Canis lupus familiaris: one gene and its partners. The protein of the gene in region 5 purifies or fractionates together with the protein of the main gene of each other region. This does not show direct contact. Links are inferred from orthologs where the notes say so. Each region holds a gene or a part of one and is shown on either strand. Other genes may lie near its edges.

What was found.
Region 1: the proteins of POLR3H (region 5) and POLR3F purify together in Homo sapiens (affinity purification with mass spectrometry; 4 studies listed by BioGRID and IntAct, with this or other methods). This does not show direct contact. The link is inferred for Canis lupus familiaris from reciprocal best matches to the Homo sapiens genes POLR3H and POLR3F.
Region 2: the proteins of POLR3H (region 5) and POLR1D purify together in Homo sapiens (affinity purification with mass spectrometry; 6 studies listed by BioGRID and IntAct, with this or other methods). This does not show direct contact. The link is inferred for Canis lupus familiaris from reciprocal best matches to the Homo sapiens genes POLR3H and POLR1D.
Region 3: the proteins of POLR3H (region 5) and POLR3D purify together in Homo sapiens (affinity purification with mass spectrometry; 6 studies listed by BioGRID and IntAct, counting the BioPlex papers as one, with this or other methods). This does not show direct contact. The link is inferred for Canis lupus familiaris from reciprocal best matches to the Homo sapiens genes POLR3H and POLR3D.
Region 4: the proteins of POLR3H (region 5) and POLR2E purify together in Homo sapiens (affinity purification with mass spectrometry; 6 studies listed by BioGRID and IntAct, counting the BioPlex papers as one, with this or other methods). This does not show direct contact. The link is inferred for Canis lupus familiaris from reciprocal best matches to the Homo sapiens genes POLR3H and POLR2E.
Region 6: the proteins of POLR3H (region 5) and POLR3G purify together in Homo sapiens (affinity purification with mass spectrometry; 5 studies listed by BioGRID and IntAct, with this or other methods). This does not show direct contact. The link is inferred for Canis lupus familiaris from reciprocal best matches to the Homo sapiens genes POLR3H and POLR3G.
Region 7: the proteins of POLR3H (region 5) and POLR3C purify together in Homo sapiens (affinity purification with mass spectrometry; 5 studies listed by BioGRID and IntAct, with this or other methods). This does not show direct contact. The link is inferred for Canis lupus familiaris from reciprocal best matches to the Homo sapiens genes POLR3H and POLR3C.

Annotation. Positions count from the first base shown.
Region 1 is NC_049245.1:5,108,282-5,111,781, forward strand, and holds part of POLR3F (DNA-directed RNA polymerase III subunit RPC6), read right to left. Parts: intron 658-3,500; coding exon 514-657; intron 302-513; coding exon 194-301; intron 1-193. UniProt on the Homo sapiens protein: DNA-dependent RNA polymerase catalyzes the transcription of DNA into RNA using the four ribonucleoside triphosphates as substrates.
Region 2 is NC_049246.1:12,035,176-12,038,675, forward strand, and holds part of POLR1D (protein POLR1D), read right to left. Parts: intron 2,216-3,500; coding exon 2,045-2,215; intron 1-2,044.
Region 3 is NC_049246.1:35,178,361-35,180,620, reverse strand, and holds part of POLR3D (DNA-directed RNA polymerase III subunit RPC4), read left to right. Parts: intron 1-97; coding exon 98-266; intron 267-618; coding exon 619-884; intron 885-1,335; coding exon 1,336-1,488; intron 1,489-1,651; coding exon 1,652-1,774; 3' UTR 1,775-2,260. UniProt on the Homo sapiens protein: DNA-dependent RNA polymerase catalyzes the transcription of DNA into RNA using the four ribonucleoside triphosphates as substrates.
Region 4 is NC_049241.1:58,128,573-58,132,629, reverse strand, and holds the start of POLR2E (DNA-directed RNA polymerases I, II, and III subunit RPABC1), read right to left. Parts: upstream 2,801-4,057; 5' UTR 2,724-2,800; coding exon 2,667-2,723; intron 2,444-2,666; coding exon 2,269-2,443; intron 1,023-2,268; coding exon 907-1,022; intron 495-906; coding exon 414-494; intron 1-413. UniProt on the Homo sapiens protein: DNA-dependent RNA polymerase catalyzes the transcription of DNA into RNA using the four ribonucleoside triphosphates as substrates.
Region 5 is NC_049231.1:24,684,225-24,688,463, reverse strand, and holds the start of POLR3H (DNA-directed RNA polymerase III subunit RPC8), read right to left. Parts: upstream 2,801-4,239; 5' UTR 2,585-2,800; intron 2,486-2,584; 5' UTR 2,468-2,485; coding exon 2,357-2,467; intron 1-2,356.
Region 6 is NC_049224.1:18,660,493-18,664,708, forward strand, and holds the start of POLR3G (DNA-directed RNA polymerase III subunit RPC7), read right to left. Parts: upstream 2,801-4,216; 5' UTR 2,680-2,800; exon of another isoform or gene 2,664-2,679; intron 1-2,663. Other genes in the region: CETN3 (centrin-3), read left to right, coding at 2,804-2,820. UniProt on the Homo sapiens protein: DNA-dependent RNA polymerase catalyzes the transcription of DNA into RNA using the four ribonucleoside triphosphates as substrates.
Region 7 is NC_049238.1:59,294,372-59,297,871, forward strand, and holds part of POLR3C (DNA-directed RNA polymerase III subunit RPC3), read left to right. Parts: intron 1-138; coding exon 139-394; intron 395-504; coding exon 505-690; intron 691-1,735; coding exon 1,736-1,824; intron 1,825-2,831; coding exon 2,832-2,936; intron 2,937-3,069; coding exon 3,070-3,162; intron 3,163-3,500. UniProt on the Homo sapiens protein: DNA-dependent RNA polymerase catalyzes the transcription of DNA into RNA using the four ribonucleoside triphosphates as substrates.

The DNA of each region.
Region 1 (3,500 bases), on a different chromosome or scaffold from region 5:
TAAGTTCACACAGATCACACAGTGCCTGATGGCATGACAGTCACCTGTCTAAATGGGTTCTGCAGAAGGTTCATAGGTATCACCTGGAAAAGGGGTCTGGGTCAAATATGTTTAGAATACATTGTAAACTATATCCCTATGATGAAGAGTAACTTTTAAAAAATAAGATGAAAATTAAAAATTGAGCTCTTACCTTACTGATCCCCAATTCACAAATGTACTTCCACACTTCATGTGATGAGGCAAATGAACTATTTCTTTGTATCATTGGATTCTGTTTGCTTTCTCGAGCTGTTTCTGCCTTTTAGGGTAGAAATATATCTCAATAAGAACACTAGCATTTTCTGAACACAGTTTATATAGTGTGAAATCAACAGAATATATTGTTTAGTGAAAATTACTGGTTTGAGTATTTTCATGTCCTATGTGAAATATGATATACAAGATTAAACATTCTTTATGAAGTAACTTTAAAAAAAAATTTGCAGTGATGTTTCCTTAATTATGCCTCACCTTGGTTTGTAGGAATTTAAAACACTGTTGGTTAAGCACCTCTACAAATTCTGATTCAAAATCCTGGTCACTGTACCAGGCTCCACCAGTCACAGACCGGTCCGGCTGCAAGTTATAAAGCATATATACTTTCTTTTTTGAGGCCTAGGAAAAAACATTAACAGCAGATGTGGTTATAAGATAAACATGTCTTGCAGGGGCACCTGGGTGGCTCAGTCGGTTAAGTGTTCGACTCTTGGTCTCAGGGTTGTGAGTTCAAGCCCTGCGTCTAGCTCCTTGCTGGGTGTGGAGCCTGCTAAGAGTCTCCTTCTCTCCCTCTGCCCCTCCCCTACCCCTGGTGCACATGCACGCTCTTTCTGTAAAAATAAATTTAAAAATCTTAAAAAAAAAAAAAAAAGGTAACCAAGTCTTTCAAAACTAAGATTTAAAGAAACTCTCAAAACTTTTTATATATATATATTTTTTTACTTTCTTTTGAGCTGGGGTGGGTGAGGGGCAAGGAGATGGGGAGGAAGAGACTCTTAACCAGTGCCACACCCAGCATGGAACCTGACTCTGGGCTCTATCTCATGACTCTGACATCATGACCTGAGCTGAGATCAAGACTCATATGCTTATCTGACTGAGCCACCCAGGCACCCCTCAAACCTTTTATTTTAGAGCAGTTTTAGATTTACACAATTAGTGTAAAGATGGTACATTTACCTTGTGCTTAGTTTCCCCTCTTAACATCTTACATTAGTAGGTTGCATTTATTACAGTTAATGAACTAATATTGATATATCATTATTAACTAAAGTCTATACTTCATTGACGTTTCTTTAGTTTTTCCCTAATATCCTTTTTCTGGTCCAAGAACCTATTCAGGATACCATATTACACTTACTTGTCCTGTTCCATTGGCAAATTCTCAGACTCTCCTTGCTTTTGATAACTTGCCAGTACTGAGGATGACTGGTCAGGTATTCTATAGGATATCTCTTGACTGGGACCTGCCTGATGTTTTTCTTATGACTACTCTAGGAGAAAGACCACGGAGAAGTGCCCTTCTCATCACATCCTGTCAAGGGCGTTCGATCACCAAGTGATAACTGATCACTACTGATAAGACTTCTCAGTATTGAGGTTAACCTTGATCAGATGGCTTGAAGTAGTGCTTCTCCGTTTTCTCCATCATAAACTGACATTTTTTCCCTAGTCTTTCCATATGTGGAAGGACATCACCATGCTCAGCCCACACTTAAGGAGTGGGAGTTATATTCCACTTCTTTGAGGGTAGAGTGTCCATCCACCTAAATTACCTAGAATTCTTCTGCACAGGAAGTTTGTCTATTTTGCCTCAATCTACTCGTGGGAAGATGTCATTTATTTATTTTTTAAAAGATCTTTTAAATTTACTTTTGACAGAGAGAGAAAGAGCAAGCAAAGGGAGGGACAAGGGCAAGCAGACTCCTCACTGAGTGTGGAGTATGATGCAGGGCTTAATCTCGTGACCCTGAGTGGAAATTGGCCTGACTAAGCCACCCCAGCTAACTCTTTGTGTCTCACCCACTGAAAAGCCAAAACTACTATACTCTTCACTAAGGAATTTTTGGAATCATTTATTTATTTAAACATTTCCATATGGACTCATGAGTATTTATTTTATACTGGGCTATAATCTAAAACTACTTTAGTTTGAAAACTTGAAAACATCATGTGAATAAAAAAAGCCTAATACAAAAGACCATATATTGTATGATACAGTTTATATGGAATGTCCAGAATACGTAGATCTATAGAGACAGAAACTACATCAGTGGTTGTCAGGGCCTACGGGCAGGAAGGCTGGGGAGTGACTCCTAGTGGGGTCACATTTCAGAGGTGATGAAAATGTGTGAATTAGAATAGTGTGATGGTTGCATGTCTCTGTCAGTATACTAAAAACTGCCAAACTATACAATTTAAACAGATGAATTTTCTGGTATGTCAGTTATCTCAATAAAGCTGTTATTAAAAATAAAGATGGAGATGAAAGATTGGCAAAGTGAAGCTAGGTGTTCAGTGTGTGGGGACTCATTATTTTTTCTACTTTTGTATATATTTGAAATTATCCATTAAAAATGCAGAGGGTAGATAATATTCTAAATAAGGGAGGGGGGATGCCTGGGTGGTGCAGCTGGAAGCATCAGCTATTGATTTTGGCTCAGGTAATGATCTAAGAGTTGTGAGACTGAGCCTTGCACTGGGGTCCATGTCCAGAATGGAGTCGGCTTGAGATTCTCTCCCTCTGCCCCTTCCTGTGCTTGTGCTCTCTCTCTCTCTCTAAATATAAATAAAACCTTTATTTATTTTTAAGGATTTTATTTATTTATTGATGAGAGACACACAGAGAGAGGCAGAGACATAGGCAGAAGGAGAAGCAGGCTCCCTCTGGGAAGCCTGATGTGGGACTTGATCCCAAGACCCCAGGATCACAAACTGAGTCAATGGCAGATGCTCAACCATGAGCCACCCAGGTGCTCCTTAATAAGTCTTTAAAATAAATAAATAAAGGAGTGTTAAGGCAAAAATATCATTTGATAAATGAATATCAAAATCTTATTTGCTGAAATCCGCATTCAAACAAACTTTAGTTTTGGGATCCCTGGGTGGCGCAGCGGTATAGCGCCTGCCTTTGGCCCAGGGCGCGATCCTGGAGACCCGGGATCGAATCCCACATCGGGCTCCCGGTGCATGGAGCCTGCTTCTCCCTCTGCCTGTGTCTCTGCCTCTCTTTCTCTCTCTCTGTGTGACTATCAAAAATAAAAATAAAAATAAAAATAAAAACAAAAACAAACAAACAAACTTTAGTTTAGGGGAATCTCAGCTCCTCTGCTGCCTAGGTTAATGGGGTCAGTAGCTGGTGTCCCTGATGGATCCAGCTCTGAATGGAAATCCCTGAAGGAGGTAATAGGGGTGGGATAGGATGAGGAGGAGAAATACTACATACTAGAAGAGACACTTTA
Region 2 (3,500 bases), on a different chromosome or scaffold from region 5:
CAGCTGGTACATGCTGAAGGAATGTTAACGGATGATAATAGCAGCTGAAATAGAACCCAAGTGGGAATGCAAATCTGGTCAAAATCATCTTAAATTCCAGAGTCAAGCAAATTAGTTTGGAGTCATCTGGGTCTTATGTTTCTTTTTACTCACAGAAATCAACCGAGAGCTAACTGGCTCCATCAGTATACAGAAAGGGTAGCATGAAAACCAATGTACCTGAAATCAAACCACAAATTGAGAATTGGCAAATTAAATAATGGAGAACATGAGAAAATGAGATCTTTCAAAGAATCAAATCAGAAAAGCTACACGTCAAATAGTTGTACAAAAAAGACACAGAGGGGAAAAAAGACAGAGTCTGATGAATTAGTACAAGGCAGCTGCTGTGGTGCTAATGTTCCGTTTTGTGATTGAAGTGCTGGTTTCATAGGTACATTCACTTGACTACTTATCAGGCTGCATGCTTAGGATTTGTGCACTTTTCTATATGTATAATTATAGTGAAAGAAAGAAAGAAAGAAAGAAGCAAGAAAGAAAAAGAACACCACAAAGAACGAAACAAAAAAGAAGAAAGAACCTAAATAAAGCCACCCTAAATCCCTACCGAAGCACGCCCTCCCCATCCCCACTCCCTGAAATACCGTCCAGGCCTTCCTTCTTGAAGGAAGGAAGGAAGGAAGGAAGGAAGGAAGGAAGAAGGAAGAAAGGAAGAAGAAAGAAAAGATGGGACACCTGGGTGGCTCAGCGGCTGAGCATCAGCCTTTGGCTCAGGGCATGATCCCGCAGTTTTGGGATCAGTTCCCACATCGGGCTCCCTGTGAGGAGCCTGCTTCTCCCTCTGCCTATGTCTCTGCCTTCTCTCTGTGTCTGTCATGAATAAATAAATAAAATCTTTAAAAAAAATTACTAAAAAAAAGTTACCTTTGACCAACTAAATGTACAGTATCTGTCACATCATGGATGGGAAAAGCGGTTCAAATATGGCAATTAAGTCATGGAAGACAGGCTGAGGGTCTTGTGTTTAAACAAGTATAACTTGGTGACAAGCACTGACTTGGAAATTGGGCACAAAGGAGTGCAATGACAGGCTGCTGCTGACCAGGAGGCCCCTGCCAGACCCAGCGTATCATCATCCATGCTGCAGGCCACCAGTTCATCCCCGAGCCATCCACATACAGCAGGGCACTGGGCAAAATTTTAAAAAAACTCAATGTCTTTCCATGGAGTGATGTTTTGAAGAAAAAAAAATGGAACAATTTACTTGATCTTAAGTAAGGATTTGATGTCAGACCACAGAACATTCTGATTAAAAAAAAAAAAACCAGGGACAGATGACTCAGATCACTGCTGGACATCTGCCTACAGGCTCATAACCACTCAGCAGTAATTAGCAGTGGAGTGACCATGTGGATTGGGAGAAACCATATGACAAAGTATGGGTTCTGTATTATTCAGTAATTTGATCATAGACACAGATGAAGAAATTTAGGCCATCTGTATTTCAGAAAACATCAAATTGTCTGGGTTCGCCTATCAGCTATACAGAAAGGTAAGAAAATTCAAATTGTGGGAAAGGTTTTTAAAGGTAAAACTCAAGAGTGACATTGAGATCATTTGGGATATGAAAATAATTATTTATAGATAAAAGATGAAAGCACAAGAAGTTAATTCTCAAGATGATGTTAAATTTGGCCAATCTCTCTTACATGCTCTGCATGATGATTTATATGGTGAGCAAGGCCTTTCCCTGGAGAGGCTTATAGTAGGCCCTGTATATCAAATAAAGACCTGTATGTATATATTAGAAATAAATATTGAGGGTGCCTGGGTGGCTCAGTCAGTTAAGCGTCTGCCTTAGGCTCAGGTCAGGGGCCCCACTTCTCCCTCTCCCTCTGCCATTCATTCCCCTTGCTTGTGCTCTCTGGCTCCATCTCTCCACTAAAAAAATAAATCTAAAAAAAAAAAGAAGAAGAAGAAAGAAAGAAAAAGAAATATTGGATTACTTAGGGGAACGTAGAGAGGGAGCCTCAATATATCTGACCTAGAGCTCAGTAGACTGGTCCTCTTCACCCTAGTTTTCCCTACGTCTGGCACATGGTAGGTCCTCAGTTGAGATCTGGTCAATGAATGGATTCTGGGTGTGAGTAGGACAGGACAACGATGCACAGATTTACAAGTAAAACTGCTGTATCTGTAGCTGGAGGAGGAGATGCTGGGAGAGATGGAAAACACAAGACAAGGATGGTGAAGACACAACAGTGAGATCGTGTGTCACAGGGCAAAGAAATGCGATGAAATAAGCCAATGGCCCTGGGCAACTTGGGCCATCTTCTGTGGTGGCCAGACAGGAACAGCAGTGCCCTGGCACCGCAGCCCCGGTAGCATCAAGTATCAGGCCATAAAGGGAAAGCCTAGACGCGGACTGAAGACGCCAAGTCAGTGCTAAGAATGAGGGACAGCTGGAATCTGGCCAGTCTGGATGGAGGTCTTTCATCCTCTAGGGCTGCTTGAAAATCTCAGCAAGCTTTCATATCTAGAAAACACTTTTCTCTTTGTGGACTACCAGAGATAAATGACCTTTGTTCGGCTTCTGGTATCATTCTTTTGAGTCATTATGCGAATGAGTAAAGCCCACTTCACTCTGCTCCTTTCACATTCTCTAAACTCCATCTCTTAGTAGAGATGCTAAGTGCACTCTGAAATAAAAGTACTCAGCGTTAGGAGTCTGAGCATACTAATGGAGACTGCGGCGGTGGCTTACTGGCCTATGTCTGCAAGACCTCACCAGACAATATGTGCCCCGTGGGATTACCACATTCTTGGGTCTTAGCTTTTTGCAAGTCCAGGAGCCCAGTTGGGCTAGGTGTCCCCAGCATTCTATCTGCCATTACATGCACGGTGGAGGCCACATTCTCTGTCTAAACTGCTCTGCAGTCCAGCCACATACTTGTCACCAGACATCCAGATCACGTGTTACCTTCTCTGCAGGACTTTCCTGATTTCCTGTTTGCTCCATATTAGTAGATGTTACTACCACTCTTTTCTCTTAGGCCCACCAAAGGACAAATAAAGTCCCACAGACCATATTTCTTAATATTTACAAGTATTAAAATAAGCTAAAAACTATTAAATAAAAAATTCATTCCTCCTACCATGATAAATATACCTTCATTACAATAAAAATAAAAAACATGTGTAAAGCTGTTTTTTAAAATGACTGGAAGTCAGCAAAATACCAGAGGTGACGGTATTAACTTACTGCACACAGTGAGAACTGTTTATGAGTTGGTAATATTGATGAATACAGAAAGATACAGAAAGACAAACATTCATATGTATTTATTCCATAAAATTTATTTTCTTGCCCTGATTTCAGCAAAATCATTATACTTTTAAAATAAAGATTTTTACATAAGTTATGTATTTTTAAAAGAATTTATTTGTTTGAGAGGGAGAGAGAGCATGAGAGGAGGAGCTGAGGAGAGGGGCATAGGGAG
Region 3 (2,260 bases), on a different chromosome or scaffold from region 5:
GCAGGAATCTTCAGTTAGAAAAAGCTCAGGTGGGCTGCAGTCCAGGTATGTGTGCATGCTAGCCAGACCATGTGACCCCCTGACTCTTCCCTGGTAGTTCATCGATGACCCTGGGCTGAGGAATGACACTCGAAACATGCCTGTGCAGCTGCCGCTGGCTCACTCAGGGTGGCTCTTTAAGGAAGAGAATGAAGAGCCAGATGTTAAACCTTGGCTGGCTGGCCCCAAGGAAGAGGACATGGAGGTGGATGTACCTGTTGTGAAAGGTACTCTGTCCATTAACGTCTCCTCTCCTTCCCTGTGGCTGCCCCCCAGGAATCCTCTCTAGGAATGAATCTCCCAGACTCATAAGCGGGTCCTCCCCCATTCCAGTTGTGAAGTACATGACCTGAACAGGGACACTAAATTCTCATTCTCAGAAAGTTCATGCTGACATGGATCCGTGGGCCTAGCCTCAGATACTCCTTTTTGATAAGCCACACAACTCCTGGACCCTTCTTCATACCAGTGCTTCCCTCCTGCTTCATGGTTGAGTGACAATGAAGCAGATGGGAATGAAGGGATGGGTACTGCAAGATGGCTACTTCATAGCTCTTCCATTTATGTTTCCTTGGGCAGTGAAAGAGGAGCCCCGAGATGAGGAGGAGGAGGCCAAGATGAAGGCTCCTCCCAGAACAGCCAGAAAGACCCCGGGCCTCCCAAAGGACATATCTGTGGCAGAGTTGCTCAGGGAGCTGAGCCTGACCCAGGAGGAAGAGCTGCTATTCCTTCAACTGCCAGACACGCTCCCTGGCCAGCCACCTACTCAGGACATCAAGCCTATCAAGACAGAGGTGCAGACTGAGGATGGGCAGATGGTGGTCATAAAGCAGGAGAAAGACCGGGTATGTGCATGGATGAGTTCTGTGGAAGCACTGAGGGGGCCAGGAAAGGAAACAGCCATCTGTTGCGGAGCAAAGGGGTGCCACCCAAGCTGAAATGCCAGAATAATACGCATTCATTCCACCCACAAGGTGCTTGAGGCTTTGTACTTCAACCCCTGTTACGTATTTTTACTTTTTACAATGAAATATTTAGTGTATACACAGATGAGAGAACATGAATTCTCATGTACCATCACTCAGCGTCAGCAGTAATAAATATTTTGTCTATTTGTCCATTTGTTTGCTTTGGGTTTTGTTGTTTGGCCAATGGCAGGCAACTGTGAAGAAAGGCCCTCTTAGGGAGCTCATTCTAATCTTTGCTGCTGACCTCTTCCTTTGGAAACGGTATCATTCATGCAGGCTGGAGGAAGAAGCTCCTTATCTTGTTTCCATCTTCTGATTCTCTTCGCAGGAAGCCAGGCTGGCAGAGAATGCTTGTACCCTGGCTGACTTGACAGAGGGTCAGGTTGGCAAGCTGCTCATCCGCAAGTCAGGAAAGGTGCAGCTCCTCCTGGGCAAGGTGACTCTAGATGTGACGATGGGAACCGCCTGCTCCTTCCTGCAGGTGAGAGCCTGTGGGGTCATGGTAGGGGCTCTTTAAGAGGTAAGGAGTGCTGAGGAGTCCATGCTAACTAAGGGAGAAGCATTCTTGGGATTCTCCTAAATCATAGGGCTGAGGAATGGGCTGTATGGTTTTGGTTCTCATTGCTGTTTCTGTTGATTGGCAGGAGCTGGTATCCGTGGGCCTTGGCGACAGTAGGACCGGTGAGATGACAGTCCTGGGACACATAAAGCACAAACTTGTATGTTCCCCTGATTTTGAGTCCCTCTTGGATCACAAACACCGGTAAAATGAGCAGATGGAGGATGATGGTGACTGTGCCCACGGCTGCCTGCTCCAGACGTTTTGTTCTCAAATCTGTGCGACCCAGAAGGGGCCTGTTTAGCCCACCCACTCCAGCCTTTGGCAGCCATTGTCCCAGTTTTCCCCACAGGGCCCACATGGCTTCCTCCCACGGCAGCTGTGAATGGCACCGTGGCCTTCCCACAGCATGGATCCTGCACATCCTTGCTGCTGGGGGACTTGTCCCTTCTATTTATTTTTATATTTATGTCTTATCTCTTCGAGTGACTGCACCCTCCCCAGGTAGAGAGGGGAGGGTCTATGGAAAAGTCCAGGCTCCTCCTGTCTTGCTGACTGTCTTGTTCTCAGGGTAGGAAGCGTAAGGACTGCTGCTGCTTTTACTCCTTCCTCTTTCCCAAGAAGCAGTGTTGGAGAGAGAGCTGGGAATTTTGAGTCTGGGACTCAGTGCTCAATCCCAGCTCCATCAGTTACT
Region 4 (4,057 bases), on a different chromosome or scaffold from region 5:
TGAGTCTGTGGGTGTGACAGGCCCCACGGCGCCCCCACACGGGAAAGGGGAGCAGAGCGCCACAGGCTGTTTCCTTGGAGTCAACCATCCACCCAAGGGTCCCAGCTGCCACCCCACCCTGCTCCTGACTCCACGCCTGGGGGGAAGGAGCTATGGCCTGCAGGCGCCTGGGGGGGTATAACCTGGAGAGTGCAGGGGCCCCTGGACAGACCCCACCCCCTGCCCCCCAGCTGCCTGACTGCACACCTGGCAAGTGCCCAGGGCCTCACTGAGACTCCGGCTCTGCTTCCTCCTCCCCACAAAGTGGGAGCAGCGGCACCTGGTGCGTCCCCAGGCCCTCCCTGTGCTCGGGCAGGTGCCACCTCACCAGCCGTCCAGCCTCCCCTCCCGCAGACCCCCACTAAGGCCCTCACCTCGTGCTCCGTGATGTTGATGAGTAGCTCCTGCTGCAGAAACTGCTCCAGGATGTACTTGGGGGCCATGTCAACCAGGGACTGAAAGAGAGGCTGACCCTCACGCACAGCCAAGGCCCAAGACGCCGCCACCCCACCTCTCCCAGGGGCTGAGGGCAGGTGGGAGCCAAAGGGGGTTCCCACGTGTCAGGTCAGTAAGGCTCCTCTGGGAGGAAGAGACCACCCGACACAAACTGTGACACCTAACAAAATGCTCCTGCAGTTGTCCCTGTGCTGGTGTGACGTAGAGAACCCTGCAGGGACGAGCGCACAGAGCTGGCCCTCCGTCCCAAACAGCAGCCCCTCCTCGGACCTGTTAACCACAGGAATGCTGGCACCCATGCAGGGCACCTCCCTGCTCTGGCTTCTGCCCACACGGGAGAGCCGCTCCTTCTCAGATCCCCAGATCCTGGGGCCCATGAGGACGTGCGGCCAACACGAGCAGCGTGCCCACCTGCTTGGCGGAGGGAGTCATGCCCTGCTGTACCACAATGAGGGCCCGGGTGATGTTCTCCTCCTGCATCCGCTGGCAATACACCTTGATGGTCTTGATTCCCACTTTAGGCTCCTCTGGGGACAGAACACACGAGGTCTACACTGCAAGAGTCCCTCCTGCCCCAAGGGCCCTGCTCACTCACCTGCTCGTTCACTTCCACCCTGCTAGGCGCGCGGGCTCCAGCTTGACCTTGCCAAGGTGTAGCAGTGCCTCTCTGGACCAGCTCCCTCTTTCTAGGGCCCCAGGGAACCCACCAGGGTGCCAGTCCTCCCCCCCAGCCCCCACGGAGCTGATGGGTGCCCTGCATCTACCCACTTGGTGGATCCCTCCCTGGAAGCTGAATCTGGGGACCTACGTGGTGCAATGTCTGGAATCCCCAGATGAAGCAGCTGACCTGAAGGACCAAACCCCCTCCCTGCACAGCCACGGTGGGAACCCTCACGCTCACCACAGTACAGGGGCCAAGACCTGCGGGACCCTCTGAGCCTGGTGGAAGGTGAGCAACTGGGTGCCTGCTGCCAGGACGGGTGCGTGTGGTGCACCACATCTGCCCCATCACAGCACTCCCCTCGGACCCTTGCTCACCTGACGGGCAGCGTCAGGGACTGAGCTGTTTCCCACGGAATCCCCGTGTTACAATCCTAACCCCCGAGACCTCGGGTGCAACCGTACTTGGAACTGAGGTCTTTAAAGAGGAGATTCCACCAGGTTGTCAGGATGGACCTCAGTCAGACACAACAGCACAGACACACAGAGGCACGACCTCGGGAACTCATGGAGAAGACGGCCACCGGCACGCCAGGGAGAGGCCTCAGGGGGACCCAGCCCCGTGCACACCCTGGTCTCAGACGTCCTGCCTGCAGCCCCGGAAGAGGTCAGGCTGCTGCTGAAGCCGCCCGGTCTGCGGCGCCCAGTCGCGGCGGTCCAGGTGGACCAGCACGGCCGCTCAGTCCCATTCTGTGGCCCACTGGAGCACACGGGCGCCCCGGGCCCACTCCAGGGAGGGCCCTGCCACAGGCCGACCCACACACGGGGACGCTGTTTGCACGAGCACCAGGAGGGTCCCTCCTGCAAAGGTTTCCGACGCCCTTGCTTCTGGGCAGGGGGCTGGGCCCCCCGGGAGGCCTGCGACAATCCGGCTGCACTGAACGAACAGTCAGCGGGGAACAGAACCCAGGGCTCCCATCAGCACCCCGTGGCACCGTGCGCAGCAGGCTGGGCACTCGGGAGGGCGGGTGTAGACACCGTCCCTGGATGGCTGCACGAGGGCTGCGGACTCCTAGGGGTCACGCAGCCACCCAGGACCCACGCGACCCTCACCTGGAAAGAAGACAAACATCTGGTCGGTGGGGTCGTCGTTGTGGGCCACCAGCACCGTGAGGTCCGTGCGCCGGGGCCGCCCCTCGCTCGGCTTGTCCCCAAACTGGGCCTTGAACTCTTCCAGCGTCTGGTCCAGCTCATCCTGCGTCACCAGGTAGCCGCGGTCGTGGCACAGCTGCAGGGAGCACCAGCCGGGTGACCCCCGGGCTCAGAGGGCGGGGCGGGAGGGGCGCGGCCGGATGACGTCACCGCGGAGAAGGACGGACAGGGCCGCGGCCCGGCGCCTCCGAGCGCGTGGGGACCGCACAGGAAGGGGCCGCAGAGGCCGGGACGCACCCGCCGAGCGCGCCCGGAAGCTCCGAGCTGCGCCCGCCGCCGCCCTGACCGCGCGGGCTCACCTGCATGATGGTCTTGCGGATCTTCCACAGCCGGTACGTCTCCTCCTCGTCGTCCATGGCGGCCGCCGCTCGCAACCCGCGCGCCTGAGCCCGCGGCAGGGGCCCGCGCTGACTGCGCCTGCGCCGAGCCCTGCCAAGCCCCGCGCGGGGCTGCCCACAGCGAACGCCGGACTCCAGAGACCTTCGCGGGCGGCAGCGCCGAGGGCAGCCCGGGCCTTCTGCGAGCGGCGGTGGGCGGAGCCAGAGCCGAGCGAACGGGACCGCCCACTCTCGCCTCGGCAGTTGTCGCGGGGTTTCGGCCGCGGGGCCTGTCGGGAGTTGTGGTTTCCGCCCGATGCCCGTGTGGGTGGGGAGTTTGGAATCCGGAAGGGCGGAGGCGAGGTGTGGGCGGGGAAACTGAGGCCAGGGTGGGGTCAGCGGTCAGCTCGCCTCCCCGGGGCGCAGGGCATGTTGTCAGGCCCCCCACCAGGTACGCATCCCGCTGCTGGGCGTCGCCGCCGCCTTACTGCGCAGCAGCCTCGGGTCGCCCGGGTGGCTCCGTGGCTGAGCGTCCGCTCGGGGTGTGATCCCCGCATCGTGGGCTCGAGTCCCGCATCGGGTCCCGCAGGAGCCTGCCTCTCCCCCAGCGGTTCTCAGGAGTAAATAGTCTTAAAAAAAAAAAAAAAAAAAAGAAAGGCAGCCCGGGTGGCTCAGCGGTTTAGCACCGCCTGCAGCCCAGGGCGTGACCCTGGAGACCTGGAGTCCCACGTCGGGCTCCCTGCGTGGAGCCTGCTTCTCCCTCTGCCTGTGTCTCTGCCTCTCTCTCTCTCTCTTTCTCTCTCTGTCTCTCTGTCTCTGTCTCTCGAGAATTAAAAAAAAAAGCCTAAGCAACGGAGCCCCCCAGGCACCCCCTCCGCCAGCCCGTTTTTTCTTATCTGCCGTCTACACCCGTTTCTCCCTAGTCTGTCCGCCCTGGGCCGGCAGCTCCGCTCCTCCGTCCTGCCCCTTCTCCACATCCTGTCCATCCTGTCCGACTGCAAACCCTCCACCTTCAGAACTGCAGGCGCCGACGTGAGCCCCCATCTGTGGCCCTCTCCCTCCTCTCCCCCTCCCCCATCTCTCAGCTGAAATGCAGCAACAGCAAAGGAAAACCCCGGCTTTTCAAGGCAATCAACGAGGCCTCCCAGGTGTGCCCCAGGCTTGCCCCACGACAGCCTCTGACCTCCCCTCCCCCCTCCCCCGGGGCCTCCTGCAGCCAACGCAGCAGGCAAAGTGCAGCCCCAGGGCCTTTGCACACATTGCACCCTCTGGTGGATACGCCCTTCTTCTGACATTCCTACAGCTGCTCCCTCTCCTTTGACCTCTTCCTGCCAGCCCTCTCGCTCCCTGCCTTCCCTGAGTCCCTTGATTGT
Region 5 (4,239 bases):
TCACCAGCCTGCTTACCTGCCACCAGTGTCATCACCTCCCAATACACACCCTGCAGGACTGTTCAAGGATTAGCAAGAAGCTCAGAGAACTCCAAGTCCGGGCCGGACCTCACCACAATGAGCCACAGAGCCTGGCTGCCTTGCACAAGATCTGTGCCCTTGGGAGGCCTGGATGGGATCGTGTCCCACATTGGGTACCTGCATGGAGCCTGCTTCTCCCTCTGCCTGTGTCTCCGCCTCTCTTTGTGTGTCTCTCATAATTAAATAAATAAAATCTTAAAAAAAAAAAAAAAAAAAAAGATCTGTGCCCTTGGCCAGACCACAGACCTCTTCTGTGCAGCTTCCTCTCAAATGATTCTAATATAAAAGACTCGTCTGAACAGGTCCCTGAAGGACCCATACCCCAAAGGGCTACATTCCCTTCTTGGACTTTTAACAGCTTTTTTTTTTTTAATTTATTTATTTATGATAGACACAGAGAGAGAGAGGCAGAAACACAGGAGGAGGGAGAAGCAGGCTCCATGCCAGGAGCCCGATGTGGGACTCGATCCCGGGACTCCAGGATCGCACCCTGGGCCAAAGGCAGGCGCTAAACCGCTGAGCCACCCAGGGATCCCCTTTTTTTTAAACAGTTTTTTTTTTTTTTTTTTTTTTTTTTTACTTTTTTTACCTTCTTGGACTTTTCACACCTTCTGTCACCACTATGCTCACACTTCATCCCTCCACTGACCCCCTCTACCTTCTACCTCACAACGTAACTGGAAGCCAATCACTAAGGACTTCATGAGTTCTCTCCACCAACAGCTGCAAACAACTCCCTTCCATGATCTCAGCCTCTATCTACAGAAGGGACTGGCCTCCTGTCTAAAGCCAGCCAACCTTCCTCTTGCTCCTTCTCAGCCTATCACCTCCTGCTATTCTACAGATGGAAATCAATACTGCCATGACATCCTGCAGGCCCCATGTGGTTTGGCTCCTGCCACCTTTCCAGCTTACTCTCCTCTCTTCCTCTCCAGGCCACACCAGTCCTCCTCCAGGTTATGATGGATGAAATATTCCCTCCTGCCACAGGGCCTTTACACATGCAGTTTCCTTTGCCTGCCCAACTCTTCTCTCTGCACAGCCCTTTCCCACTCTCAAAAATGAATCCCCAGGGTACCTGGGTAGCTCTGTTGGTGAAGCATCTGCTTTGAGCTCAGGTCATGATCCCAGGGTCCTAGGATTGAGTCCCAAGTCAGGCTCCCTGCTCAGCAGAGTGCTTCTCCCTCCCCCTCTGCCCCCCACCGTGCTTGTGCTTTCTCTCTCTTTTTCTCTTTCAAATAAATAAAATCTTCATTTTTTAAAAAGATTTTATTTATTTATTCATGAGACACAGAAAGAGAGAGAGAGAGAAAGAGGCAGAGACACAGGCAGAGGGGGAAGCAAGCTCCCTGCAGGGAGCCCGATGTGGGACTGGATCCCAGGACTCCAGGATCACGCCCTGGGCCAAAGGCAGGCGCTAAATTGCTGAGCAGTTTAGTCAGGCATCCCAAAATCTTCATTTTAAAAAATATATATATTTATTGGGACACCTGAGTGGCTCAGTGGTTGAGCGTCTGCCTTTGGCTCAGGGCATGATCCCAGATTCCTGGGATCGAGTCCCACATCGGGTTCCTTGCATAGAGCCTGCTTCTCCTCCCTCTGCCTGTGTCTCTGCCTCTTTCTGTGTCTATCATGAATCAATAAATAAAATCTTAAAAAAAAAGATATATTTAACAGAGAGAGAGAACGCGTGCGCTCCTTGCATGGAGCCTGCTTCTCCCTCTACCTCTGTGTCTCTCATGAATTAATAAACAAAATCTTAAAAAAAAAGAAAAGAATAAATCTCCTGATGGTTAACTCTATTTATTTGCGAGACAGAGACAGCGCAAGAGAGCATGAGCAGGGAGGAGAGGGAGAAGCAGACACCTCACTGAGCAGGGAGCTGAATGTGGGGCTCAATCCCAAGACCCTGCGATCAGGAGCTGAAGGCCGATCCTTCAGGGACGGAGCCACCCAGGGGCCCCTTAATGATGGTTAACTCTAAACCACTGTCCATCTTCACAGACACAGTGTGTGACAGCCATCATTATTTCCATTTTACAAATGGAAGCTGAGGCCCAGAGCGGGTAATCCAACAGGGTGCAATCTGGCATTTCCCCAGTTTCTGTTTTGACTCCAACATCCCACGTGCAGGTGAAGTAACTGAGCTCGGAGAAGTTAAGCTACTTGTCCAAGGCCAGGGTTTGGCGTGACCGGGGAGGCCTGCAGCGGGCAGGAGGGCAGCGCTGGGCCTCCCGTGCCAGGGCCTGTCAGCGACCCCGTGGGCCCCCGGTACCTTGTTGGCCAACTTTTTGTTCAGCTCCTCGGCAATGGAGTCGTTGAGCTTCCTCTCAAACTGCCACGGGGGGATCCGCACGGTGTCCACCATCTCCACCAGGACGAACATCGCGCCTGCGCCGGGGCCCTGGGGGCGGGAGGCTCAGTCACGCGCCGTGTGGGGCGGTGGGCGTTCCCGAACCCCCTCGGGCGCGTCCCCGCCGCTGAGCGCCCCCCACGCACACACCCAGGCCGGCGGAGGGGCTGCGCGGTGCGGCGCCGGGTACCCCGTGCGGGGCGTGTGCAGCCTCTGCAAACTGAGGAAACTGAGGCTCAGCAGGAGACGCCCTCGCTCCAGCGAGAGAGCGCGAGCACCCGCCGCACGACCCGGTCCCGCCACGCGCCACGCGCCGCCATGCACCGCGCTCCCACGCGCAGCCGACTTCGGGCGAGATTCCGAATCCCGTCGCTTCCGGAGAACAGACCAATAAGAAGCCTCTGCCCGCCCCCCAACGCGACGCGGCGCGACGTAGGGCGGGGCCTCCCCGTGGGCCCCCGCGGAGCCGGCCGCCCTTCGACCGCGCTTCCTGGTTGCTAGGCAACGTGGGCGCGATCCCGACCTCACCTGCCCGGCGGGGCTGTCGCTCTTCCTCTCCGTCCCGGGCGGGGCGGTGCGCTGCGCCCGGCCAGAGGGATCCTCTCAAAAGCCGGCACAGTTTGCTTAGACCCCTTCAGGACCCTGGAAGCGGGAGATTTATCTGGAAAGGAGCAGGCGGGACCTTTCTGGGGTGATAGGAATGTTTCCTATCTTCTTCTAGGGGGGTGGGTTACACAGGTGGGGGCCTGGCAGTCAGTAGGGCATGCAGCTCTTGTTAACAGGGTTGTGAGTTCAAGCCCTACATTGGGCATAGAGGTTACTTAAAAATAAAATCTTAAACAAAAAACAAAAAACAACGCATCAAACTTGACAGTTAAGATCGTTGCACTTAAGTAGGCAGATTACATCTCAATTGAAAAATGATCATTGGGGATCCCTGGGTGGCTCAGTGGTGGCTCGGCGGTTTAGCGCCTGCCTTGGGCCGGCCGAGGGCGTGATCCTGGGCTCTGGGGATCGAGTCCCACATGGGGCTCCCTGCCTGTACGGAGCCTGCTTCTCCTTCTGCCTGTGTCTCTGCCTCTATTTCTCTCTGTGTTTCTCATGAATATATAAATACATAATCTTAAAAAAAAGAAAGAAAAGAAAAGTGATCATGAATTGGACCAAAAAACAACCCCAGTACCTTCCCACTAAATTAATAATAAAGTCTGATACTTTGAAGCACCTGGCTGGCTCAGTCCATGGAGTGTGGGATGATCTCCAGGTTGTGGATTCGAGCCACACCTTGGGCGTAGAAATTACTTAAATAAATTGAGGCTCCTGGGTGGCTCAGTCAGTTAAGCATCTGACTTCAGCTCAGGTTATGATCTCAGGGTCCTGGGAAAGAGCTTTGTGTTGGGCTCCCTGCTCAACATGAGCAGTGTGAAGTCGGCTTCTCCCTCTCCTTCTCCCCACCCCTCCCCCCTGCTCGTGTGCTCTCTCTAATAACAAATAAATATCTTTTTTTTTAAGATTTTATTTATTTATTCATGAGAGATACACAGAGAGGCAGAGACACAGACAGAGGGAGGAGCAGGCTCCATGCAGGGGGCCCAATGCAGGACTCCATTCCAGGACCTGGGGATCACGACCTGAGCTGAAGGCAAACACTCAACCACTGAGTCACTCAGGCGCCCCAATAAATAAATATCTTAATAATAAATAAGTCCAGGGATCCCTGGGCGGCTCAGCGGTTTGATGCCTGCCTTTGGCCCAGGGCCCGGTCCTGGAATCCCGGGATCGAGTCCCGCATCGGGCTCCCTGCA
Region 6 (4,216 bases), on a different chromosome or scaffold from region 5:
GTCTCTTTTTGGATGTTTAGCTAATCTCCTTAATCCAGAATTATGATTAATTAATACAGATTTGTATTTTGAATCATCCCTTTGCATTTTAAAAATAAACTCTATTTGGTTATAGTGAAATGTTCCCTTAAGACAATCCCAAATTGATTTTGTCAACATCTAAAATTTTTGCACATATGTTCATAGCGAACATGAAACATGAGCTTATAAAATGGTGAGTAACATGCACCCTCTTTTTTTAAATTTTGTTTATTTATTCATGAGAAAGAGAGAGACAGAGACAGAGACAGAGACACAGGCAGAGGGAGAAGCAGGCTCCATGCAGGAAGCCTGACATGGGACTTGAATCCTGAGTCTCCAGGATCACGACCTGGGCCGAAAGCAGGCGCTTAACTGCTAAGCCACCCGGGCATCCCAACATGTACCCTCTTATCATGGAGCATACAGTCAGTGATATTAAATGCTTTAAATGTTCTCTGTGCAAGCTTCAAAATTTAAGTTCTTCATCATACTTTGAATTTAAAGCACCAGAATTAGTTCCTTGGGAATTTTTATGAATTCAAAGTTGTTTGGTGTTTTTTTCTTTTTTATTTAAGTAATCTCTACAGCCAACGTGGGGCTTGAATCCACGACCCCAAGATCAAGAGTTGCATGCTCCTGCAACTGAGCCAGCCAGGCGCCTGCTCCTCATGAATTTTTAAACTCACCCAGAACTCTGAGTGGGTTGGACGCCTTTTTATTTTACAGCATGGAATTGTGGCATCATCCTATCATTCAGTTCTATCTATAGTTATCGACCTAATTCAGTTTTCTATCTTTTTTGAGTCATCTGTTTCCCTTGGAAAGTGACTATTTCATTTCAATATTAAAATTCATTGGCAGCATGAAGTCGTATAAAGTACTTTAATAATTTGTAAACCTCCCTCTTGTTATTTTTTTAAAATAAGCTTTATGCCCAACGTGGGGCTTGAACTCACAACCCAGATATCGAGAGATGCATGCCCTACAGACTTATCCAGCCAGGTGCCCCAACCTTCCTTTTAAACTACCAAAAACCGTATTAGTGGCAATATTACCTTTCCTTTTCGAGTCAACAGTGATTTATAGAAATACTTTAAAAGGTTAGGTGTTCTAATTTTGTTTTTTTTTTTTTTTGGGGGGGGGTTTCCTTTAACCTTTAATTTTTAGAGTTACACCATCATACTAGTTTTACCTGTCCAAATTTAGTTCATCCTTCTAAGCCTAACATATAGGCCAAATCCTTCAAGAAGACTTTCTTCTGTCCTACTGGTTCTCTCCCTTCTTTAAACATATATATATATATATGTTTATATAATAAAAATATATACCTAAACACATATATAAATATATACATAAACATATATATATATATTTATTTATTTATGATAGTCACACACAGAGAGAGGCAGAGACATAGGCAGAGGGAGAAGCAGGCTCCATGCACCGGGAGCCCGACATGGGATTCGATCCCGGGTCTCCAGGATCGTGCCCTGGGCCAAAGGCAGGCGCCAAACCGCTGCGCCACCCAGGGATCCCAACATAAACATGTGTATTAAATATATAAACATGTTTATACGTATAAACATATTTATATATAAACATATATAAAAACATATATAAACATATATATGTTGAGGATATATATATATATATATATATATCCTTTATACATAGCCCATAGTGTTTATACATCTTCCCCCTTACCCTGCCTCAACGCCATATTCAGGCTATTTCACTCCTTTATAAGGGTTACAACTTAGTTCAGTGATTTGTGGGTTTTCACAGCAAGATCCCACCCAACGCAACAAATATTCATTGAGCGCCTGTGCATCAGGCACCGTATCAGGCACTGGGATCCGCGTTAAATGAAAGATACCATCCTGCACTTGAAGAAAGCCTAGTAGGAGTGATGAACAAGTAAACAAATTACCCAGGTGAGCTTCAAGAACTTAGTTTGGAGCTTAAGATAATATAACGTGTATAAGCAGCTTCCAACCCTGTAAAACAAAGGATGCAAGAGAACAGATCCCTTCAGGGAGGGAGAAGGGAGCTAAGGTACCGTCAAGTGCCGCTTTACCGTAAGTAGCCTAATAATCCAACCCATTAGATATACAATCTATAAGCGACAGCACCTGCCTTAAAAGCACGTGGGATTGTAAGGGGGAAAAAAATGCAAATTCATACCTACTAAAATCAGAATTGGGAGGACGGGACGTTTAAATCTGCGTTTTAAACAAACTCCCCATGGACTCAGGCCACCCAAGGTTTTAGAACACAGCGCAGTCAAATTCGGCAGGCCTCATTCCCCAGCCGCTCCCTCCCTTCGGCTAAGGAGGCTGGCCCCGCGGCGCGCCTCTCCTCCCTCCCTCCCTTCTCCCCCGGAGCCGTCCATCTCGTCGGCGGTCACCCAGCGGGAGGCAAGGTGCAGCCACCTACCGCCCAAACTACCACGCAGACACCTGGACCCTCGCTCCGCAAAGGATTCCGGGAAACCTCAACAAGCCAATAAAGGGCGGGGAGGAGGGGCAGAAGAAGAGGGACGAGCGGCTTCTTTGATTGACGCGAAGCACGCCCAATGAGAGCAGAGGACCAGGGACGCTTCCGCCTCAATGGGCGGGCTGTTAGCAACGTCAACCAATCCGACTCCGAAGCGTCTACCTTGTGGGAGGTCCTTGAGGCCGCTGAGGTCGTTGGTGTCTGTTGAACGGCTTGTGGAAGTCGTGCTGCCTTGGGCAGGGCGTTAAAGTCGTTCTCGAGGGGAACGTCTCTGTCCGAAGAGAAAATGAGTTTAGCTCTGAGGTCGGTAATGAGGAGGCCGCAATGCCCTCCACACCTCGCAGCGGGCCCCAGGGCTGGCGTGTGTAGAAGGGAGGTAGCTGGGCCGAGGCGAGCTGGAAGGGGATGCATTTTGGGATGAGGGCGAGGAGCCTCGGCCAGCCTTCCTGGCTCGGATTCCTCACCCTGGGGGCCCTGGTGCTCCGCAGGTGAGGAGTCCCGTGCATTTGTGCCGAGGTAGTTAGCGTCTGTATCAGCGCGTCGGGCTTTGCACCACCGAGGAGATGGGTTTCTAGTTGGGAGGAGGGAGTGAAATATCGCGATGCTTCTTCTCGCGGTGTTTCTCCGCGAAGTCAGGCCGGGGAGCCTCCCTGGGTTCAGCTCCGCCCTCCGGGTCTCCGGCCCCTGCAGCCCCTGCAGCCCCTGCAGCCCCTGCAGCCCCTGCAGCCCCTGCAGCCCCTGCAGCCCCTGCAGCCCCTGCAGCCCCTGCAGCCCCTGCAGCCGTCAGACCGAGCTATAAATTTTGGAAAGAGCTTTAAACTCTTCCTTGCTCTTATCCTGGGGCCCTGCTTTAAGATATAACGGGCGACCCATATAAATGACTTTAATTGATTTCTCAAAAAAAAATTTTTTTTTAGTTTTGTTTACCTTTCATTGACTTCCAATCTCTAACCCCGTTCGTTGCCCCCAGCAGCAGCAGCACCTAGATGTTTTTACACGTTGCACCTTAAAAAAAAAAAAAAAAAAAAAAAAAAAAAAGGTGGTTACGCCTTTCTGAACAGGTGCGGCTTTGGGTTGGGAGATGATGGTGGCAGCCCTGCCTCGACCCCGTGGCGGGTCCTGCTGTTGACCTGGCCGTCCAGAGAAGGTGACCGCGGGGACTGGGGTCCCTGTTCGCGCGAAGTCAGGTGTCTTGTGAAAGGTTGTCCCCCCGCTCTGTTTATTACTATAGGTCTCCTGGTCATCTTCTGATCGTCTGTCTCTTGACGGTTTTGTGGTAGGTTTTTAGAAAGCAAAACACAGGCAAATAGGTAAGGTGTTTTTATTAAATAAAATCAACTAGGCTTTACATTTCAAAGTGTTAGGAAATTGGTTTCAAACTTCTTGTACGGATGTTGCGGCACCATTCGAAATTTTGGAACACTAAGATGAGTATCTCTTAAGACATACCTGGCTTTTTTTTTTTTTTTTCCTTTTTTTTTTAACATTTATTTATTCTTGAGAGTTAGAGAGGCAGAGACACAGGCAGATGGAGAAGCAAGCTCCAATGCAGGGAGCCCGGTGCAGGGACTCGATCCCGGGACCCCAGGGTCACGCCCTGGACTGAAGGCAGGTGCTCAACCGCTGGGCCACCCAGGGATCCCCATTTCTGCCTTTTTAAATAAAATCTACTTTCAAGAAATTTCCAGGATTTAGGAGA
Region 7 (3,500 bases), on a different chromosome or scaffold from region 5:
AATAGCTTATCCAAATGGAGGGAGGGAAGAAGCACAGAGATCCTTAGCCAGCTCTTAGTAAATTATTAGACAAAAATTGGCAACAAAAATGAGCTATGACTTCAGATCTTTTCTTTCTTTCTTTTGCGTCCTATCTAGGTAAAAAAAGCCCTCTGTGTGCTTATCCAACATAACCTGGTGATATATCAAGTGCACAAACGTGGTGTAGTGGAGTATGAAGCCCAGTGCAGCCGCGTATTGCGAATGCTTAGGTATCCCCGGTACATCTATACTGCCAAAACACTGTACAGTGACACCGGAGAACTCATTGTTGAGGAGCTGCTATTGAATGGCAAAATGACAATGTCAGCTGTTGTGAAGAAAGTGGCAGACCGGCTCACAGAGACTATGGAGGGTTAGTACTGTACTCATAGCTGTTAGCAAAAGCGTAGATTGGCTGGCTGCAGGACTGGAACTTCAGCTAACTTAGGCAATCTCATCTGCCACTTTCATCCTGTTGTACAGATGGCAAGACCATGGACTATGCTGAGGTATCAAACACATTTGTGCGACTAGCAGACACACACTTTGTACAGCGTTGCCCCTGGGTGCCTGCCACTGAGAATTCAGACCCAGGGCCACTGCCACCTGCCCCCATTCTTGTGATCAGTGAAAAGGACATGTACCTGGTTCCAAAACTGAGCTTGATCGGTAAGGAATTTTGACCCCTGAAACTATGATTTGCCCTGGTTGTGGATTCTTCTTCAAAGATTGTTAAATTAGTGAATGAATCGATCAAGCAGTTACCAAATATTTACTCTATGCCAGATACTGTGGTGTAAAATGAAAAAACAAGTCCCTGACCTTTTGGGGCTTAAGACTAATATAAAAAAGACTTGAGTTACATTACTCAAATAATCAGATAGATGTATAACTAAGAAACTGATTAGTACTATGAATGAAAAGTATGAGATGTTATGAAAATATGTAACAGGGAACCAAATTTTTCAGGATTTAGAGCACACGCTTCTCTGAGAAAGTAGCAGTTGAGCTAAGATTTGAAACAGAAGCAGGAACTAACCAGTGAGGTAATGTATGAAGGAGTACAGAGGATAAATATTTTTACAAAAGGAATAGTGTACAATGAGAAAAAAATAGGATATTTGAGGAAGTAAAAGATGGGTCAGTGTAATTAAGGCATGGTGAGCAAAGAGAGCCATGAGATGAGGATAGAAAGATAGGGGCTAGATCATACAAGACGTTATACAGACAGCATCTGTTCTTTATCCTAAGAGCAAAGGAAAACTACTAAAGGATTTAAAGGAAGTGACATGATCTAATTTGCATTTTTAAAAGATTTTCCTGCTTGTAGATAGGATAGGGCAAAGGTAAAATGTAGACAAACCCAGTGAAAAATTAGATACAGAAAGGGTAAAGGAGACAGAAGTACTAAATGACATTTGTGTGTCTGACTTGCATGTGGGGGGAGGATGAATGGTCCTACTCACTGAAAGGAAGCGTTTGGAACAGGAACAGTTTGAGGTAGAAAGATTAGAACTTTCTTTTTTGAATATGTTGAGCTTCAAATGACTTCATCATTACTTCGAATTTCTTGGAGCTCCTCAGCCTCCCCAGCCACTTTAACCTAGAGGCAGCTGGAGATGTCTTGGGATAGAGGGAAACCTGCTCTCAGATTCAGTGATTTCCTGTCTTCATATGAGATGTAGCATAACTGTTTGCCTGTTTTATTTATCAGGGAAAGGTAAAAGGAGAAGATCATCTGATGAAGATGCTGCTGGGGAGCCCAAGGCCAAGAGACCAAAACACAACACAGATAACAAAGAGGTAATGGGGCTTAGGGGTCCTCACCCTAAGGCAAGGCAGAAAGATAACAAAGGTAACAGGCCCCAAGAGATTTACAAGGTCCTTGATTGAGAAGTAGTAGGATTAGGGATCCCTGGGTAGCACAGCGGTTTAGCACCTGCCTTTGGCCCACGGCGTGATCCTGGAGACCCGGGATCCAATCCCACGTCGGGCTCCGGGTGCATGGAGCCTGCTTTTCCCTCTGCCTATGTCTCTGCCTCTCTCTCTCTTTCTCTCTCTCTCTCTCTCTGTGTGTGACTATCATAAATAAATAAATAAACATTTAAAAAAAAAGATTTATAAAAAAAAAAAAGTAGTAGGATTAGTAGGATTATGAACTTCATTCAATATTGACCAAGAATGAACTAACAAAGTGTAAACTCCATTACTTTCTCCTTTCTGAGGCTTCATCATTAAACAGAGGTCAGATCTTATGCCAAAAAAGGGCCTTCTGTTTTCTCTCTGAAATAAGAGGCAAGGTCATGTGCTGAGAGTGGGAAGAGAGGGGTAAATAGAAAATTTAAGGATACTGGAGAAGAGTTCAGATAGAGAAAGATTAGGTAAATTCAGAGGTGAGTTTAAGGGATGCCTGGGTGGCTCAGTGGTTGAGCGGCTGCCTTTGGCTCAGGGCATGATTCTGGAGTTCTGGGATTGAGTCCTGCATCAGGCTCCCTGCATGGAGCCTGCTTCTCCCTCTGTCTACGTCTCTGCCTCTCTCTCTGTGTCTCTCATGAATGAATGAATGAATGAATGAATGAATGAATAAATAAATAGAGGTGAGTTTAGAGAATCTGAATTGGGTATTGTAAATTTGTGTCATCAAGGCCCTGATCCACATGATTGAATGATTTTTTTTTTTCCACCCCACGTGGTTGCTACTGAATAGGAAAAAAAATAGTGAACAGTTAAATCCAAGCTCCTCGCCAGAAAACTCTTCCCCATATTCACGGTATCTAAATGTTTCTCTCTAATCCTTTTCTCCTCCTCAGCCCATTCCAGATGATGGGATTTATTGGCAGGCCAACCTTGACAGATTCCATCAGCACTTCCGTGACCAAGCCATTGTCAGTGCAGTTGCCAACAGGATGGACCAGGTGGTATCTAAGTGGGTGGGACGGTGTCCCAAATCAGGAGCATTCACTTATTTGCCAGATGTAGCCATTGGCATATAGCCAGAGTCAGCACAGTGGAGTGAATTCTGAATTGTAGTTCACTTTTCAAACCCAGACCAGCAGTGAGATCGTGCGGACTATGCTTCGGATGAGTGAGATTACTACTCCCTCTACTGCCCCCTTCACCCAGCCGTTGTCTTCCAATGAGGTGATCTTCATGTTCTTGTACTACTTTTCTAACAGACTGCGGATGTGATGATTCTTATACACAGAGCCTGGGATTAGGTTGAGATCTGAGCCTTTGAAAGAGTTTTTATTGTTTGAGGTGGGACAGGGATTCTCTTCAAGTGTTAGGTACTGAAATATTGGTCTCTGGGGATCCATCCTTAAAAAACCTAAACCATTCTCCTAGCCAAAGTACAGCTATTCCCAGTTGTTCTAAGAATCCACTATCTGGAATCTGAGAACCTTTGTTGGTACTCAGAACATCATTTGGCTTCTTGTATTGCTTTTGTTCAGTATACTAGTTTTATGTATCTTAAATTT